Styela clava: one gene and its partner. The protein of the gene in region 1 purifies or fractionates together with the protein of each later gene. This does not show direct contact. Links are inferred from orthologs where the notes say so. Each region holds a gene or a part of one and is shown on either strand. Other genes may lie near its edges.

What was found.
Region 2: the proteins of ras-related protein Rab-28-like (region 1) and retinal rod rhodopsin-sensitive cGMP 3',5'-cyclic phosphodiesterase subunit delta-like purify together in Homo sapiens (affinity purification with mass spectrometry; 3 studies listed by BioGRID and IntAct, with this or other methods). This does not show direct contact. The link is inferred for Styela clava from reciprocal best matches to the Homo sapiens genes RAB28 and PDE6D.

The regions. Positions count from the first base shown.
Region 1 is NC_135262.1:19,598,838-19,608,573, reverse strand, and holds ras-related protein Rab-28-like, read left to right. Parts: upstream 1-6,008; 5' UTR 6,009-6,074; coding exon 6,075-6,746; 3' UTR 6,747-8,436; downstream 8,437-9,736. Other genes in the region: vacuolar protein sorting-associated protein 52 homolog, read left to right, coding at 8,470-8,883, 9,557-9,736.
Region 2 is NC_135252.1:5,209,408-5,219,501, reverse strand, and holds the start of retinal rod rhodopsin-sensitive cGMP 3',5'-cyclic phosphodiesterase subunit delta-like, read left to right. Parts: upstream 1-6,423; 5' UTR 6,424-6,826; coding exon 6,827-6,870; intron 6,871-7,374; coding exon 7,375-7,463; intron 7,464-7,832; coding exon 7,833-7,958; intron 7,959-8,602; coding exon 8,603-8,708; intron 8,709-9,503; coding exon 9,504-9,585; 3' UTR 9,586-10,094. UniProt on the Homo sapiens protein: Promotes the release of prenylated target proteins from cellular membranes. Modulates the activity of prenylated or palmitoylated Ras family members by regulating their subcellular location.

The DNA of each region.
Region 1 (9,736 bases):
AAAAGCTCCTTTTTCCAGTTTATGTAAAAACATTTCAAACCAATTTTTTTCTCTTTTCCAATCATAAATGTTTGCTATACTTGTCCACACAGCGAACAAAATCCGCTTCACCACATTATTTCATTGATAGAAAATGTCCAAATATATTTATATCGCTATTCGCTAGATTGAGATCTATTGGTTAGTCTTGATAAGATGGCGACATTGATAAGGTTGTCGTACTAGTTCATTTCTAGATAATGGTGGAGATTTTGCAATAAGAGACTCAATGTGCACAGATTCAATTAATTCTTCTGAAGATTACCCGCACTCGCACGCAGTTCAAAATTGATTCATGGACGACAGCATAAAAATATACTTCTTCGATGTTTGCTATACTCTCCGAACATCGTCAATCTAATTATTTTCAGATATTGATCTTCACTGTGATCCATATGTATGTGTTAAACTAGGCTCATGTGAAACTATTGGATATACGCACCAATATACAAATCTTCTTCTTAGTTGCCTCGCAGATTTATCATAATTGGACACGTTTTGTTGTTGTTATGTTGTTCTTAGTCTTGTTGTTCTTTGACGCGTTTTGAAAAAATTGCTTTTCTCTTTGATTACTGGACCAATTGCTTTGAAATTTTCAGTGGTTGAAAATAGAATTTTTCCCCAGATGGCTATTACTTTTGTTTGCTATGACGTCATCAAAATTATGTGGTTCTACGTATCCATATATTTGAGTATAGCTCTCTTGTTGACTTGTTCTATAAACAATTGTTCGCAATCAGAGCTGGGTGTTTTCAAAAACCCAGTGGTTTCAGAATTGAATCGAATATATTTCGACTCAAATCTCGAATACTTGGAAATTGAATGCGAATTTTTTATTGAATTACTAAAAACATACACTCCATCACTCAGACAGTTGGTTTTGTGTTGCCACAGAATAAGAAACCTGTTTCATCAATAAATCCCTCGCCTGTCAATTTGTATTGTAAAAAATATGCTTTAACAAAAAATGACCAAACCGACTTAGATCTTTAGTAAACAAAAAAAAAGGTGGCGATTCCAAAAAAATACTATTCGATTTAAAATGCCCAACCGTATTCACATTCCACAGTGTTGGCTAAATACATGTAGACCTGTTGTTTTTGCAATTTAGTTGTTCAAATAAACTGCTGTAGACAATCTTCTATGAGTTGTACGACCTCTTAGCGAATTGAAGAAAATAAAATACTTTCCTAAAATTAATATATATATACTGCCAAATATCGCCATCCCATAATTTCATGATATTGTTTTTCAACAACATTTACGCATAAGTCAATTACTCAATTATCAAAGCAATGTGAGGCAAATGATTCCAGCATTGTTTCAGAACTATAACTACCAACCACGGCCATATTTTTTATTTTCATCAATACTTAGGTTATCGTACGAAATCGTTCGTACGTCTCGATCTGCATTAAAAAAATTCGTTACCGTAGCGACACCTATGATCAAACACTAAATGCGATACCAAAGTGAAGAGTCGGACGCCAAAATATGGATTTCGTAGCGGGGGCACGCCCGAGTACGCCAGTGCTCCCCGAAAATGCCCCTGAGTAAAATCCTTTTTGCTCGCCGGAAAATTCGTTTATTGCAAACCATTGCATCTGACGATGTGAAGGGCAGAAGTGTGGTTGAAGGAAACAGCCACCAACAAATAATGATGGCTAGTTTCAACATTGCAAACTAACTGATTATAGCAGGGGTTCTCAACTTTTTTCCTGTTAGCACCCCCGAGTCATGAAATAATCAACACGGACCCCAGTGATCGGTCAAACATAGTTTTAATATATTAACTAATGATTTTACTGTGTTTTTTTAAATCAGTGGTTCCCAACCAATGGTCCACGGACCGGCATCGGAACCAGAAGCTTTTTTGTCGGTCTGCGCGAAATTTTATTGTTTTTTAGTCGTCTCAGTCGCTTTAGCGAACCCGAAATAACGACGTTGTGTTTGTTTATTACGCGATTTCTCTGTCGCCGACATATTGCTGTTTGCGGTATCAATGGCCCGACGACATTTTGGCGCCGAGTAATCACACTTTTCGCTTCCGATTCATCCCGGAGCGTCCGCCAAATCTTGCAAGATTCAGAAAGCCGAAGATCGGCACATGTATTTTGCTGTTCTGCATGGTTTTCCTTCTTAATGTGGACATCCAAATAAAAGGTTATAGAAATTTCTTTGTTTAAATCAGAAAATATTCATGGATAGTATAATATTCCAGGGCTTTGCCTTGACATCCAGCAAAATATGAGCTTGTTGCGACCCTGCAGGTGGCCACAAGAAGCGCAACAAAAGCATGGGCCGCGTAGAATTTTTCCAGGCGATGCACAGCAGGATTGTGAACCTGGTGCTAAGTTACAAACGACTTTGTCATCATTCATTTTGTTTGATGCGTTGATTAACTGCAGAAGGATTAATATGAGATCAGTTAACCAGCAGGGCATTTTGATGTTTTTTAACAAGAACGAGGAGACAAAGTTCTTCTTCTAAACAAAGTTTCCTTTTTTCCATTTTTTTTTGTCGGCGCATTATTTGTTTTTATTCATGTGAAATGTTTTCAAGTGCCCAACATTACATTACATTTTGCAAATATATGTTGTTATTTTCTATTCCACTCATTCCAATTTTTTGCCGTCCGCGAGTACATTTTATTTAATTTTACCGGTCCGCCAGAGAGGTTGGGAACCAATGTTTTGAATGATATTAAACAAAAGTATTCATTTCATTTGTACAGAACATTAGTGTGAAGGCTGTCCCTGTTTATTGCGAATAAGTTTCTCAATTCGAAAAGCAAACAGTGCATTGTCCTTCGGGATTCCCCAGTTTGGCTGCAAAACTGTGAATTTCACATTGTTGAGTCACAACAATGCAAGATCGGAGAAAATCCACGCTGAGTTTTAATCGACACCCATTTTCCTTTGATAATAAAGAATATTGAAAAATAGCAACACATGAAAACTCAACTGTCATTCAAGTACCTTTCGCCATTATCAAACACCTCAAAACCCATGCCGACTAACAACTAAATGGATCTCTTTTGAAATACAAATGTTACATCCCAACCCTAGTTACATGTATGGTTAGGCATTGTTTCTCTTGAAGCGAGGTCTTTTGTAACCTTGCAAAATTTGTCTGTTTGTGCGTATTTTGATCTTTGACCTATGCGAAAATACGCATCGTCGCAGTCGTTTTGTGAGACCAGGAAATGGGGGGTCTCTGCCTTGGAATACAGGTCGGCCGGTGGGGATTTTATGGTGAAATTATTTTACACTTGTTTATTCAAGTTTTTTTTTTTCAAATACGGCTAGGCTATTCCTTCAGTTGCACGCTAGGAGTTCACGCGGTCTCGGTAGGTTTGCACTCAGATGTTTGGCGTGTCGGGGAAACTGCTTGTACGCCAAGACCCCTGATTTTTAGATTTGCACGCCTGTCCTGTCTGTACGGTACAGCTGTACGGTATCTGTCATTCCACAAATAACCAGCCAATGCCCAACCTTCCTGCTCTCTAAATGCCTTAAGAAAAATTTCATTCTGTCCTCCTTTCTAGGATTCAATTTCAAGCCCCAAACTGCTGAACTGTGCTTTTTTTAATAGACTATTAGGGTACGGTACAGTAATAACTAATAATAATATTGATGATAAATTATTTTTAGGATAGAATTAACATATTTATCCCGGGGGAGAGGAAAGCCGATAAGACGGCTTAACCATATGACTTAACACGGCCACTCGCAGTATCGTCTGGTTACTGTACCGGTATCATTCCATGTCGGGTACGGTACCGGTACCCTACGGTATGGGATTAGTTAACGTTAGTCGGTAGCCTATGGCTATAGTGGTGGTAGCATAAAAGTCATATTGGGGATGGCAAAATACGGTCGAAAGGTGGCAGATTAGGGATGGCAAATTAGGGTCGAAAACGAGTTGGCCTGGCTCAACAATTTTTGCATATGTCAATCCTAACCCCCGCCTGACTACGTCACTGAAAAATTACGCCATTCCGACGTCACAGTGGCGTAATACCGTAAGGCCCACCGAAGTACCGGTATGCGGATGGTCGTCCAAAACGCGCAGTCGAAAACCCGAAATCGAGCAAGCTATTTCTCTCGTTTTCTCGTCGCAACGATCACATAGGAGAGAGATCGCCGGCTTTAGCAAGTTCTTATCGGCGGCGCATATGCCATTTCGGGCGATCGTAATTATACTTTTGCAATCCCTATGACGTGATGGTGACGTCGTAGTGACGTAATTTTTGGATGGCATAGTCAGGCAGTCAGGTGAGGGTTAGGAATAACATATATGCAAAAATCGTTATGCTACGCCCACTGGAAGTACTTGTGGTACTAAACTATACTAGACCCGAATTTTGCATATGTTATTCCTAACTCCCACCTGACTATGTCATCCAAAAATTACGTCACTACGACGTCACCATCACGTAAGGCTTGCCAAAGTATAATTACGACAGTACGAACTCGCTCAAGTCGGCGATCTCTCTCCTATTGCTGTATTGTGATTGTTGTGACGAGGAAAAGAGAGAAATAGCTTGCTCGATCCGCATACTTTGGTGGGCCTTATTACGCCACTGTGACGTCAAAATGACGTAATTTTTCGGTGACGTAGTCAGGTAGGGGTTAGGATTGACATATGCAAAAATTGTCAATGTGGTACTAACTAAACTATACCAGACCCCACACAGACTATATATCTAAATCACTGTTCCGAGCAATGGCATGTGCCATTTATATGTTCAATACGAAACTTGATGCATATCGATATCCTATCAACTTTCCAAATCAGATACGAAAAGAAATTTCTTGTCGACTTACTTCGAATGTTTGCAACAAATTGAATGTTCTTGTTACTGCAACCATACCACCACCTGGAAATAAAAAAATAGTTATTGCACCAACCTGCTGACCTAATGAATATTATACAGGCTATGATATATGTAATTATCAAACAGCTTTTTCTGAATTCCATATTACTTGTCTTCTTCTATGACAAATGAATATTATTGAATTTATCTTTATTGAGTTCACTTTTAAACTGCGAATTTAAAATACTGTCTTGAGCTACAATGCATGTTGTTGCCTTATTCACATTCCAAATCAAATTCAAAGAAGACTTTATGTCGACTTTCTCTGGATGTTTTTGACAACTTGACTCAGAATGTTTTTTTTTGTGTGTGTGGGTGTATTCATATGTATACAATGATCACACCTCTATGACTGATTACACATAGTACCGCACCGGTACGGTACTTCGTCTAACTTAGTACATCATTGATCTGCTTATTCTATTTATATAATATTGTTATTAGAATTATATTACATGTCTTCTTTATCACCTCATCATGTGTTTATCAATGCCTGGCCTGAACTGCTCCACTCGACCGATTTGAATTTCACATTACCATAGCAACTAGTATACCTCAATCAATTTACACACTTCAGTGCCTGTCAATCGGGGAATCCCCGTAAGTTATCTGGTGGGCTCGATTAGAGATGTTGCCATGTACTATTCATGGTAGTCTCATAGGATTTAGGATAGGATATAACTTTCATGTCTCTTGGATGTGGTTCAACTGCCAAAGCCTGGTCATTCATATTAAAAGTGTTCTAAAAACGTAACTTCTTTAAAAAAAAATAAAGTTAAATATTGAACCTTGTGTGTTGCTGCTCGATAACCATTCCTGGTTCCCCGCGACTTCCCTTCCCCAGTAAAAATGTGTTTTCAGTTTTGTATTTTGTTAATTTCGTATGTTATTTTTTACTGAATGGGAAAAAATAAACTTGACTATGACTATGACTATTAGTATATCTAGATATACAGATATAGCCATATCTCAGATGTCGGTCTATACATCTGATACATCAGTACATAGACTACACCTGTACACTCAGAATCAGACATTGATACATGCAATAGGTTCTTTCACTTTCTGACTTCTATTCTCAAATATTTTCTTTTTATTTTTGGCCTGTAGACTACTTTGTTTGCAGACTACAGGACTAATATATAATATTCTTGATATGTCTGATTCTGAAGATGACACTGAAGACGTGCAATTAAAGTTTGTCGTTCTTGGAGATGGTTCGAGTGGAAAAACCTCACTGATTACTCGTTACACACAGGATCAATTTGGGCGTAATTATGAACAAACCGTTGGATTGGATTTCTTTCTAAAAAGAATAAGACTTACGAATAAGAAAAATGTCTCGCTAAAAATATGGGATATTGGCGGACAAACTCTTGGTGGAAATATGCTTGATAAGTATGTATTTGGTGCCCAAGGAGTACTGCTTGTATACGATGTTACAAATCACCACAGTTTTGAAAATCTTGAAGAATGGTATGAAATTGTTAAATCGATGGCCCATGATTCGCAACCACATTATGCCCTCGTAGCAAATAAATGTGATCTCGAGCACTTAAGAACTGTCACAAAAGATAAACATATGACATTTGCAACAAAAAACAAGTTGCAGAGTCACTATATATCAGCAAAAACAGGTGATTCTGTGGATCTTTGTTTTAAAATGTTGGCTGCTGACATTCTTGGGATCAAGTTAACAAGAGCAGAAACTGAACAAGCACATCGAATTGTAACAGCAGAAATTGCCAATTCTGCAAACTCAGAAGCAGTAAAAATAGCTTCAGTTCGAAGAAAACAACAAAAAAGCTCTTTTTGCTCACTTCAATAATTAATTTTGGCAATAAAAATTATATTTTATAAATAATCGATTTTAGTATGTATCTGAAAACATCTATTAATTCAAACGAGTCATTGCCCAAGTTGGTATACTCCTATTTCTTTGTTTTCTTGCTATTTAATGTTTAAGCCCCTATTATTTTAGTTTGTGAATTTATAAATAGTAAATATTTTTTCTCAGTATTTGAAAACGTCAAGTTAAGATTTTGCTTCAAAAGTCTTAAAACAATATCACCCTAAAACAGATTTGTCTTTATACATTTTTCAAAAATAGTTTCATATATCTTTTATTCTTACCTGGTTGTTCTTTAGTTAAATATGTGCTGTAGTAGGTGGACCAAACATTGTTTACATGTTGTTACACATTTCCTATTTTTAAATGGCAATGCATCTCATTAGAGTTTCAGTATACCTGTTCTGCAATGTCTTTATTATATATTATTTTCAGACTTTTTACCACTTTATCATCTTTTTTCATACCATTATTTTGTACGATATCACTACTTTTTCCTCTTGAAAGGTGCTCTGTGCGTTTCTCATCTCGGAATAGTCAATATGCATTTTATATTAATTGAATAACAGTTTTTAAAGATATGGGGTGCTAATTTATCTGGCCATCATATATCAACACATTTCGATAATTCTTCATACTGTCGCTAACCTTGTTCAGCCCTTTAATTTTAAACTCGTAATAATATTAGCTGATTGGCTTCAACTCTAGGTTGCAATGTAATGCCTTACCAAAAATTCAATGAAAATTAAAAAGGTGATTTTCAATTTTTTTTTATCCAACCAGTGAAAACCAATAAATTCAAGTAAAATTGGAAATTTCTGTAAATTTTAATACAGTTCAATCATATTGGGAAATATGGATAGTTTTAGGTTTTGTTTGTGAATTTTTCGAAATTCATTTTGGTTTATGAAATTTTGTCCTATGAGGCTATGAGTGAGTAGCATGATGAAATGAATACATTTCTGAATACTGTGATAGGCTTAGCCCTGTTTGTTTTGATTGTAGTATTTTAACAAGTAATGCACTGTACATGAATATTTCCATAAAACAGGGGTGCATAACCTCTACTCCATTGATAGACACGTATTACTGTATACTGAGGAAGGGTGCTAATGGTAAATAAAGAATTTCTTCAATTTTTTCTAAATAATATGATTCATTAATAATGCTTAAAAGTTTTTATAATTATATAAGTGCTGAGTTTCATGTGGTTGTAGCATTGCATTTTGTGCTTTCACTACTCCTCGAACATATTCGGGGTGGGGTGTAATCAAAGGTTTCATTACATTTGAACCCACGTACATTTGAACCCACGACAATTGCACCTACATACTTACAATTGCACCTATGGAGATCTTTTTTGTTTTACGGATATTTGAATCCATACTAACCCTGGCCCATGGGTTTTTGCACCCGCATATAGATTGAACCCGCGGATATACACATGGGTTCAAATGTACGTTGGTTCAAATGTACGGTCACCGTAATCAAAGTATGGTATGTCTTATTCTGTAAGTTTTTTATAGAAATGTTCAAATGTAATAGGCAATAGCAATCGCAACTTGTACCACGTTTTATGCTGACTAGTTTTTAGTTGTATCTTATTCTTGCACTCTTATCACACATTTAATAACTGTGCTTGATACATAATTTGTTTTAATTTTTTAGACCTAAGATTAGTAGTCCTCCTTTGTAATTCACCATGGAAGATAGTAAAGTATTTACTGGACTGGTGGAAAACCAACCTCTGGATCTTGATCAACGTGAGGCCGACCTGGATATGTATTATCCTGATTTAGAAGATCTTCAACTTCTAGCAAGTGAAGATATGCTTGAAACTGTCGGAGAACATATTCAGGAGAATCTTGAGGATGACCTTGTCAAAGAGGCTTTGGAAAAAGGTGTAGATCTTCGAGAGTATGCGAAGAATATTGAGAAAGACTTGACGAAAGTGGAAAAGGATTCGATACAGGATTATATAAGAGAAAGTAAAAGAGTTGCCGACCTCCATAAACGAATCGGCTCTTGTGAGTCTGTTTTGGAAAGAATGGAGGGAATGTTACATGGTTTTCAACATGCATTAAGCAGTATAAGCTCTGAAATTCAATCATTGCAGGTTAGTAACATTAGGATTTTTATATCTATACCATGTAACATTTTTATCATATGATGAATCATGGTCTCGTAATCTGTGATTCGTGACTTTGACATAATACATCAGATTTTAACTTTATATTATTAATAAATTGAATGATATTATTGCTGGTGAGACATGTCGATTTCAAAGTAATCCACCAATGTTAGCTAGCCTTCCTATCTATTTCAGTCAATTATAATGTTGATTTTCATTGATGAGCTTTGAGGCTTCCTTTTTATGATCAGGCAGGGCAAGGATATCATGATCTCATGACCAATTGTTAATAATATCCGTAAAAATCCTGAGCAGTTTTATAAATGACTGTATTCCCATTCAGTATTGGTTAATAATATCCAAGAAAAGATCTACTCTATGATATTGCATTTTATTATTATCATATGATTTAGGATTCTCAAAGTAATATATCTTTCTCCATGCAAATGGAGACCCCCAAAGCAAAATTTTCGAGACACATAGAAGAAGCTTTCCATTTTATGAGGAATGTACTCAAAAACAACTTTGAATTACCGTAATATGAAAATATCTCGTCACAATTTTTGTTTTAGTAGATATTCATCATTTACAGAGATTCCTCAAGGTTAATGACAACTAATTAACTAAACAACTAAATTCAATTTTTTATTGATCTTAGGAACAATCCATCACCATGAATATGAAGCTCAAAAACAGACAATCTGTGAAAAGCGAGTTGAGTCAACTTGTTGATGAAATGGTTGTTCCTGAAGCAATGATCACAGCAATATTGGAAATTCCCGTCACAGAAAGAGAATTTTTAGAGCAATTACATGAACTCAATCATAAAATCAAATTT
Region 2 (10,094 bases), on another chromosome or scaffold:
CAGAGCGTTCGTCCCAAACCGGAGAGCTCTGAATGCCATTGAAACACTCAATGAGCTCAGACCTAATTTCGGACACGCCCTGCACCACGCGTGATTGGAAGTTCCAACGTGTTGGTGCACAAGCTGGGAGACGGCGGCTACATATCTGGCGAAGGAGGTCAGAGCGCTTCGGCGAAACGGAAAAAAATGAAGAAAACCCCGAAACATTTGCAAAAAATATACGGACGAGAGGGGTATCAAGACACATATTTTTAATAACGAGGTTAAATTGGTGTGCATAACAATGTAGAAAATGCGCATGAGGAAAATCTTCTTTTATATAAACTTGAACACCATGTTTCGACCCACTCATGACTGCCGCGCCGTCATAAGTTTGAGCTATCAATTTTGACTTCGCGTTGTAAGGCTGTAACACTTCTTTCAGTACAGCCGATATCCCGCAAGCCGTGCGATCAACGATTGGTACAAAGCTGTGAAATCTCTCGGTAAATAATAAATAAATTTTATACATTGAGTCGAGCAAATCATTTTGGATATCCTTAAAAGTCCCTTTCGAAACAGTTGCGGCATCAAGATGATCTCTCAATACTGTATCTAGGGATGCGGTGTATTCCACCATATCCAAAAATACCCCTCTATTAGAAGAGCCAGCCCGTTCATCGTGCCCACGAAGGGACAGCTCGTGACAACCAATGAACTTCAAAACATCTATCAATCGACCGAGAACATGGCGGTTTTTCTCGACGTTTTGGTTGTGCCGACGAATAGAAACCGCGCGTCCTTCATCCAACTGTGCTGCAATATTAACATTTTCGAATGTTCGGTATTTTACTGCATTGTCCAGATGCTCCATAGAAGATTGATGATCCCTGGCACGCTCGGAAAGATGTTTAAGATCTCTAAAACCAAATTTACACCAACGTGAGTCTGGGGCGGTAGCAAAAAGTAGGCAATAAAAACAAAAAAGTGCATTTTTGTCCTCGCTGTAACACAACCATTCGTGTTTTTTATACCAAGTTTCTGCGCAGAATGTACGCCGACGCTTTCCTCCGTCATGGGATTGTTCCAGTGAACAATTTTTTGGTTGATAAGGCCCAAGACGTTGTACCTCTAATTTTTGTTCCAGCGGCAGCTGCGAAAACGGAGTGCGAAGTAGTGCATCAACCTTATTCATTATGAGGTCTAAGGCTAAGAAATGCGAAGCCGGATAGAGGTGAGGAGCTCAAAAGGAATGTGGAAAATCGAAAGCAAATGGACTAAAGGTCTCTAACTGATTCAAATAGCGAAACACGCGACAAAAACGAAGGCGAGGAAACTATCAAATCTTCAAGCAACCAACGAACGAGAAGGAATGCGAGAATATGTCAACACATTTTTGTAAGAAACGTTGGCATTGTGTCGTCATAATTTCGGGGCTAGCCCCGATGATTTTGTAAAAGAAACAGAAAACAAACGCGGCGAGTGGAAGATAAAAGAGAGAATACGATATACAATGAGCAACCGGGGCAAAATCGGCGTCGCCCCGTCGACGTTCGGCGAAGGCTTTGCGAGCGAAAAATGAACCACGTCGGGAGAATATGGCTGGTGTAGACAGTCTGTGCAACCGATATTGAGGTATTTTTCGAATATTTTTTATTATACCGAAAAAACAACCGGGGCATTGCCCCGGTTGGCCCTATTGACGCGCCGCCACTGATTTTAGCCATCATCAACGACAACATCCCAATTTGTTTAAGATAAATTTCACAAATTATTTTCAAATTCAAAATAGAAAATATTCACTTTTACTTATTACACAAGTCATGATCATTACCATCAAGGCACATAAATGAGAGCAATAATATTTAACACTCAAATTCAAGTTAAAGCCACTACTCAGTCACATAGTCTTTCATCCAAATATGAGGTTTACGATTTCGACGAGGTCTGGTTGCAACACGATTCACGATTATTTTTAGAAGAGTTGAATGAATGAATGAATTGATCTTCATTCGTGTTTGTAGTCCTTTTCAGCATATTCTTCAGAATCTTCACCCACGATTCAGCTTTTCCATTCGCTTGTTGATGCACATGCGAAGAGCTTGCATGCTTGACTCTTCACTCTCTCATGAATTCGACGAGTTCAGTACTTTCAGTACTTTCACAATCTGGGATAAATATCCATGATAAATACCATGTCTGGCAAAATGACGTTTTAGACATATGATGATTTGACGTTATTTATATTCTGGACACCTTCTTCAAGCGTTTTTATTTTGGTCATGTTTCTTCATTTATCGAACATGGCTTAAGGTTCTACACTTCACCCGGAAATTATTTCTATCATTGCACGGGGGACATGTTTTCACGTAGACAGGGCAAAAATATTCAGAACCTGCGCCTTCGTCCACAAAATTTGAACTCTTAGTTTGCATTCGGAATTCGCTTTTTGTGTTGCTGAGCTAGGTTCATATTTCGGCGTTGTAAATTTTGAGTCGACAAAATTCGTTGCTCGCTTTCCGATGATGCACGAATCTTGGATGCAGAATTTCTTGTAATTTGCCATTCAATGTACATACGTTTTTCATTTCTTATCATTCGCACCTTGTTTTTTAAAATTACAGGAATCGCTTTACTACGAAATTCAACGAGAAATGTATTAATATTGTCTTTGTACTGGGCATTGAAAAAGCGAAATGTCTCTATCACTTCATTCTTCCGGAGATTATAGTATTCAGTAGGGCTGGGAATGGTTAACCGGTTAACCGATTTCAGATGGTTAACGGTTACGATTTATTTTAATCCTTAACTGACATCTCAGGTACAAATCATCTTCATACCGTACAATTTCTTCAAATATGATTACGTCATCGCAAATTTATCTCTTGTGGCATTTAATGAATATTATTAACTGTGTGAGTAAGGACTGTGCATAATGGAAGTACCAAGATTGCTGATTATGGAAATCTGACAATGATGAATTCAGAATCAGTTTTCGGTCGATTTCGAAATAGTGTTTACGATTTCATTGCAAAATCGGATATTCAATGTCATACAACAAGTGCGCAGTTGATGGCGTTTTTCTTTATATGATATATACTCCGAAGTAAAATTTGCACATCGAACACTGATAATTTGTGACATAAATGACGTTTAACAACGGAATCAGGTATTCTAAAATACTTCCACATGCCCGAACCACGCTGCCTATCTCGTGCAGCAGAGTAATCATGAAACTATCTCGATTCGTGAATAATTTTAATAAGCGATACCGGGATAAGAACACGCGAAATTGCTTTATAAGCATTGAGACGTAACAGGCAGAAATTATAGATTATTACGTCAAACGTCACGCGGCGGTTAACCGGTTAATTTACCCGGTTAACGGTTAAAGTGTTTTCCCTGAAATTCCCAGCCCTAGTATTCAGCCATCTTCTGTAGTCATCTTCGTCTTCAGTCTCACTATCATTTCAGCACCTGCAATATGAGATTATGGGATTTTGTTCTTCCTTTAGGTCCGCTGGCTCATGAAAATATTTGATCTGGCTCTTCCATTTCTTGAATGCTCCTGATCGACAGTAAGCGAATTTCAGACACCGCTGCCACCATGTAAATTGAGACATTGCGCCAGCTGAAGGATGTCTTAGGCCTAGGCCTATGTCAAATAGGCCTTTTTCAAAAATTTGGTGAGCGGTCTCGGATAGCAACTTTCCACACTCAAAATCAGAAGAAAAGAGCCTACAAAACTATTGAATGGTAGAAAGTTTGCAAAAAGAAAAGGATCCGAACTCTGGTAGAGTCCCCAACGTGAATATCTATTTCGACGATCATGGCCGCCGAAATACCATGCGCGTCGCGTTTGCATTGTTGTATCCGATTGAATTTTGTATTGTATTGGAATTTAGATACCCAGACTTATGCTGCACACTCTTCGTATATCTTTTCTCAGATGTATAACCTATTTATGATCTTGGTATGATTTGGGTTTATGGGAATAAACAACATTGACCCAGGACTTCCATTGTCTAAAAAAACTCTAAATCCGGCCCTGTCCTTCGACATGGATATTTCCTACATACCGATTTGTTGTTATTAAAAGATCATGTCGACACTAGTGCTTTATCTCAGGGCTTCCCAAACTAGGGGCCGCGAAACGAATTTTAGGGGCCGCAAAGAGAACACCAATTTTACACAAAATACCATATATATTGACTATTGTACTTTTTTCAGACTCTTGATTCGAAATACAATTATTATACAAATAGTGTAAAACAAAGATTTCACGATTCCGAGTGAATACATCATCATAATACCGTGTTTTTCCAAAAATAAGACACTGTCTCCAATTTTCTTTCGAAAATAACACTAGGGCTTATTTTTGGGATACAGAATAATGAGATTTTTTTATTATATATATATGCAAAATATGAATACCTATTTCCATTTACTTATAAATAGCACGTTTTTATTTTAAATACCTGCTACATATAGACTTTTACCCATTTAAAAAAGTAGAAAATATTTCTTGCTATCGACTGGGACGCAGTGGTTCTCGAACTTCATTGTATTGTGACGCCCTTCAAAAATATGCTCATATAAACGATTAAACAAAACTTAACGACAGTCAGTGAAATCGCAATTAATGGGCCTTGGTAGAAAAGGCTGCTTTATATAAATACGAAATCGCAAAGAAGTTGGGAGTGCGCAATGCTTTTGGAACCAAGGACAAATAATCTTTATCTACAGAAAACCGAATTTCCAGAATAAAACATTCCTATTATAGCAACATCACAGGTAGGATCGATTTAATCTTTCTTTTTTCCAGTGAAAGTAGAAGATATGGGTTTTTGAAAGGTTCACGAATCACGAAATTTTGCGACGTCCTAGCAAAATTAAAACGACGCACTTCCACGAGATTGAGTCAAAAAAAAAAAAAAATTCGCGCTATCGACTAAGTCCTTTTTGAAGCCGAGCTCTTATATTGAAATCTTTTTAAAATTCAACCTTGGTCTTATCTTCGGGGAAACACGGTAGAATGATGGCGCTTGCATAACAATGCATATTCTGATCGTGAAACCCGATTTGCGGTTTGCATAACAATGACGGCTCTAATCGTTATGCTAGCGGTTTCCGAAGACGATTTGCTGAGTGCGCCTCGAAACATATTACATATCATATTTATTCTAAATGTTTAATTGTTTCAAATGACGTGTTTATGGATCAAAGTCATTTTGCCGTTCTATGTGTTTACTTTCTGTACGTAGGGTCTATTGTTACGTAATATAAGAGATGAACCCTACATGCTGCAACCAGGCAGTGATAAAAAAGAAACGTTAACTTTTTGCCTTTATTCATCGGGCTTACATGATTAAAAACCTCAAAAGACATTTAGTTCATATTAACGATGACAAAATTGTGTTTTGTTTCGAGGCAGTATATTTTTCGTGTAGGTGCGCCATGAGTTTTTTCCCTGATAATTTGGCGTCGAACAAAATGCTGCCTTATGCTAAGTTTGATCAATTAGAGTGAACAATTCGAGATAAGGACCATGCCGTCAGTAGCCATACAACGTAATTCATCATTTAGGCCTGTATAAACATACATTGAGCCTTGCTATGCAGCAAAAAGCATTCGTACCCATTACACTGAATAATTGAGAAACGTTAATCTGAATAAATATATGCTTGTTTTTGTTATTGAGTAGACATGTTAAAGTTGAGAATTAGCTCTGCCAATAAAACATCAAAAAGGCATAATTCGAACTGTTTGGCATTATTTAACGTGGACAAGGGCCGCGAAAAATTTTACTATATTAAAAGGGGCCGCGAGCTCAAAAGTTTGGGGAGCCCTGCTTTATCTGGTAGAAATTTACGTTTGGCCAATGATGATTGTGACAGCACGAGCAAGTTTGAAGGCTTGCACATTTTGAGTAGACTTCTCGACTTCATGGGTATATTGAATTTCGTGGATTTTTTTTTGGATTAATTGGTTTTGTTGTTGGTAACTTTGAATTTTTGCTCGAGTACTCTTTAAGAAAACCAAATTTCACTTTGCTCACGAATGTTCAGGATAAATTTCACTGTAAATGTTCATATATATCGACCGAACACAGGAACATGACAACAGCAAATCTTTGCCAGAAATGTGACAGGCATAGGGGATTATTGCGTTTCGATATAATCCCCTATTTGTATGTTAATCTACTAGCGATCGAATTCGCTTCGACACCATTTATCAATACCGAAAACTGCATACCAGTATGCAACGTTTTTCTGTCAGTTATCGATCGTTTGAACGTGGCCTACACATTATAAAATGTGTACTGTGAGAGACAGTCAGTAAGACGCCATCTTGCCTCATTGTGCGATGCCTTTTCGAGTTTCGTCTGACTGCCTGGGGTATATCGCTCTACAGTCTAACAGTAAATAGCAACCAAGGGCTCGTTCTGCTGTATTGCAGTGTCTATATCTATACTAGCAAGTAGTGAAGTTAGTTCTGTAGCCACAAATAAGGGCACTTCACTAGGATATGTATTAGTAGGATGGCATTATCTTCACTACTCTTAATAACAATATATAGAATATATATATACAAGAAATGCTTAGTCATGTTAGCACAAATAACTGAATACGGGCACTGGGATATGTATTAGTAGGATGGCATTATCTTCACTACACATAATGACATAGTCACATTACAGCATTTGTAATTAGGTACCGTATTCTGAAACTGTAATTACTTGTCCAGTTACCGTATATCTGCAACAAAGGCTTGAACTACTGGACTTGAGTTATTCGAGTGACAAAATTAGCTTAGTACGTGGTAATTTAATACCTGGATTACAAATATGACTACAGAAAAGGCCAAAAATATATTGGAAGGTTTTCAACTGTAAGTTTTTGTTCAATATTTACATTAGGCAGTCTTAAATGATTGAAATACATTGGATGATCGAAATAAAAATGGAATTGTAATGTTTCATTGTAATACAGTACCGTACTTTATGATATTTGCATATGTTTTGAAATATTTTACTGCAGGTTTTGATGTTTTATATATTTCAAATCACTGCTGTGGTTATTCATGATCCGTCTTGATTCTCAACATTGAGCTTTCTATGAGAAAATTATCTTGATTTAGTATTTTTCTGTTTTCCTTTTTTACTGTTATTGATTACTTTGTTCAAATAACTTAGGGAACTGAATTCAGCAAATATTATTTAAGAGCTGTAGGTAAATATTCACAGACTGTAAACAGCACTAAATACAGAAATAGCACACAAATATGAATTATCATAACTGTCTGTCTGTAAAAAATCTATGCTACAATCTTCTGTGTATTTAAATATTTATTTATTCAAGATTCATGTATCAATTTTCAACTTTTTATTTATAGAAATTGGATGAATTTGCGCGATGCCAGTTCTGGCCGAGTTTTATGGCAGGGCAGCGAAGATTTGTCAAAGCCAGAGCAGGAGCACGAAGGTAACATGGTTTGCAGAATTGGTAAAATATTGATGAAATATTTTTTCCCCATCTGTATTGCGCAATATATGTATTAAGTTGGGTCAATTATCATAGATGATAAAAGTTCATTATGCCACCACAGCAAATGTTGAAAAAGAAATTCCAGTCCAGTTTTCAAAATATAAGGCTACCACAAGACAAAAACAAATTGATTAGCAGACCTCAGCCTATTTTTTTTGTTACTTTTTGGCAGTGATGTTCATGGTGAGCGGCTTTAAAATTTGATGTTGTCATTAAAATTTATTGGGTCATTTATGCTCAAAATTAGCTGTGTAAATATGTGGCCTCACATCCTCTGTTATATTTGTTTATCAATATTATTTTTAGCTCGAGTACCTAAAAAAATATTGAAATGCAAAGCTGTGTCAAGAGAAATCAATTTTTCCTCAAAAGAGTCTATGGAAAAATTCAGACTGGAACAAAAAATAATTTTCAAAGGAAGAGTACTTGAAGGTATATTTTGCTACATTTTTGTTTTTAGTAATTCTGAACTAGTATTGGCATTTTAAGTCAATCACTTATTGTGAAACACATTGTTGTTACTCACCGTGTTCTGTTGAGTGGATGACCCTTTACTGAGAAACCTCAACCTCTCTAACTGACTACTCAATGAGGGATTTTTAGCATTTTGAGTATACATGCGTTTTATGGAATAGTAACTAATTTATTCTGAACTTCCTAATTAATCACATATTCATTTTGCAAGAGTATGAATAGGTATAATTTTCTAATATGTTCTTGTTAAATTCTTGGATACTGGTTCCCGTAGTGTGTGTACCAGGTTAGGGTTAGGCCATAATTTTATTCTGATTTTCATCATTTTAGTTCTATTACGAGTCTGGGGCCTGTTGTGTTAGCCAAGTAAAAATACCCCCTGCCCATAGCTTGCAGTCCCTTTATACAACTTGATGTAAATTAGGCGAACAAAATTAGTTACCTCCATACACGTACTTCTGGAGCTCCAATTCTTGTACTAACAACTGTATTATCGAACCATACCTGCCTAACAAAGTTTATATCTTCTTTATCTTCCACTGTTTAATAGTTTTATAATGTGGTATTTGATAATGTATGAATCATAATTCATTATATTGCAGAATGGTATTTCCAATTTGGATTTGTGATTCCTGATTCAACAAATACATGGCAGTCGACAATTGAAGCTGCACCACAGGGGCAAATGATGCCTGCTAGTGCTTTAAGGTAACATCTTAACAAGTTTTGTTCCGCTCTTTGGAAATACTCAATGTACAAATAATATCAATTTAATGAATTGGATGCATATGCTGAACTATATAGAAAATAGTTATGTTTCAGGATGTGATGTTTGCTCTTTCATTTTATCCAGTGCAGACATTCAACCCCAAAGGTACTCCCGTATTTGTGTATCCGGTTAGGGTTAGGCCATAATTTTATTCCGGTTTTTCTTATTTTAGTTCTATTTAGCCATGTGAATATACCCCCTGCCTATAACTTTCAGTCTCTTTACATAACTTGATGTGAAGTAAGCGAACAAAATTGGTTACTTTCATATTGGTACACACACTTCCCTTTCTGATAAATGGGTTGAAAATTATATTTTTATTGTAGAAAAGAAGACCATGGGTCATAGCTATTTAAAAAAATTTGGCATCAATGAGAAAGTTGCTGTTGCAAATTTACTTATAATCTTTTGTTGGTATTGTGTACTTTCATGCTTTCACATGCACCATTCATATCAGGACTGAGGCAATTCTGGTAGTCCATTTACTCAAAAGCGCGCTTTGCATTGTTATGAACTGCCAAAATGGTGCGGCAATCTTTCTGTGGTTTTAAATGGGTTTGGAAGAGCATTACAGTCTGAAATATTTGCATTTTTCAATAGTATTTTAACCGCATCATAGTCACTACAATCCAGCTCTATTGTTGCTTGAGATTTCTGTGGATGTTACGTATTTGCTTGATCCTAGCTATCGATTATCATATTCTCTTTACATGATTTTGCTTTTATTTTTTCAGCGGAAATGTTATTATAGAAACCAACTTTTATGATGAAGATCTTCTTGTGAGTCAATCACGTGTTCGAGTATTTTATGTGTAATGTCAGCTTCCCCTGCAACTGAATATTCACACTTACCTTATTACTACGAATGGTCAAAAAATCACAACATTGAGTGAATTATCAAAGTTACAGGGAATGACTATGCAAAATCAAATGGAATCTACGAATTTAATTTTTAAGCGCATTTGACTAAGCACTGCAATAGCTAAATAGATGTTAGATTCACTCAGTCTAGATATTCACTGTTAGTTTCATTTATGATATTAAAAATTAGGTACTCCCGAAGTATGTGAACCAAGGTGGCGGACACTGAACCGTAGTATGTGTACCAGGTTATGGTTAGGCTATATTTTCAGGTACGAATACTACAGGGATCCCTTGGGAGTCACATAAGGTAAATTGGAATAAAATTATGGCCAACCCCTAACCTGGTACACATACTACGTTCTGGTGTTCGTCATCTTTGTTCACATACTACGGGAGTACCAAAAATTAATCTGTAATCCTATCATCATTCGTATGTGATGTTTTAAATCAAAACGTGAGAG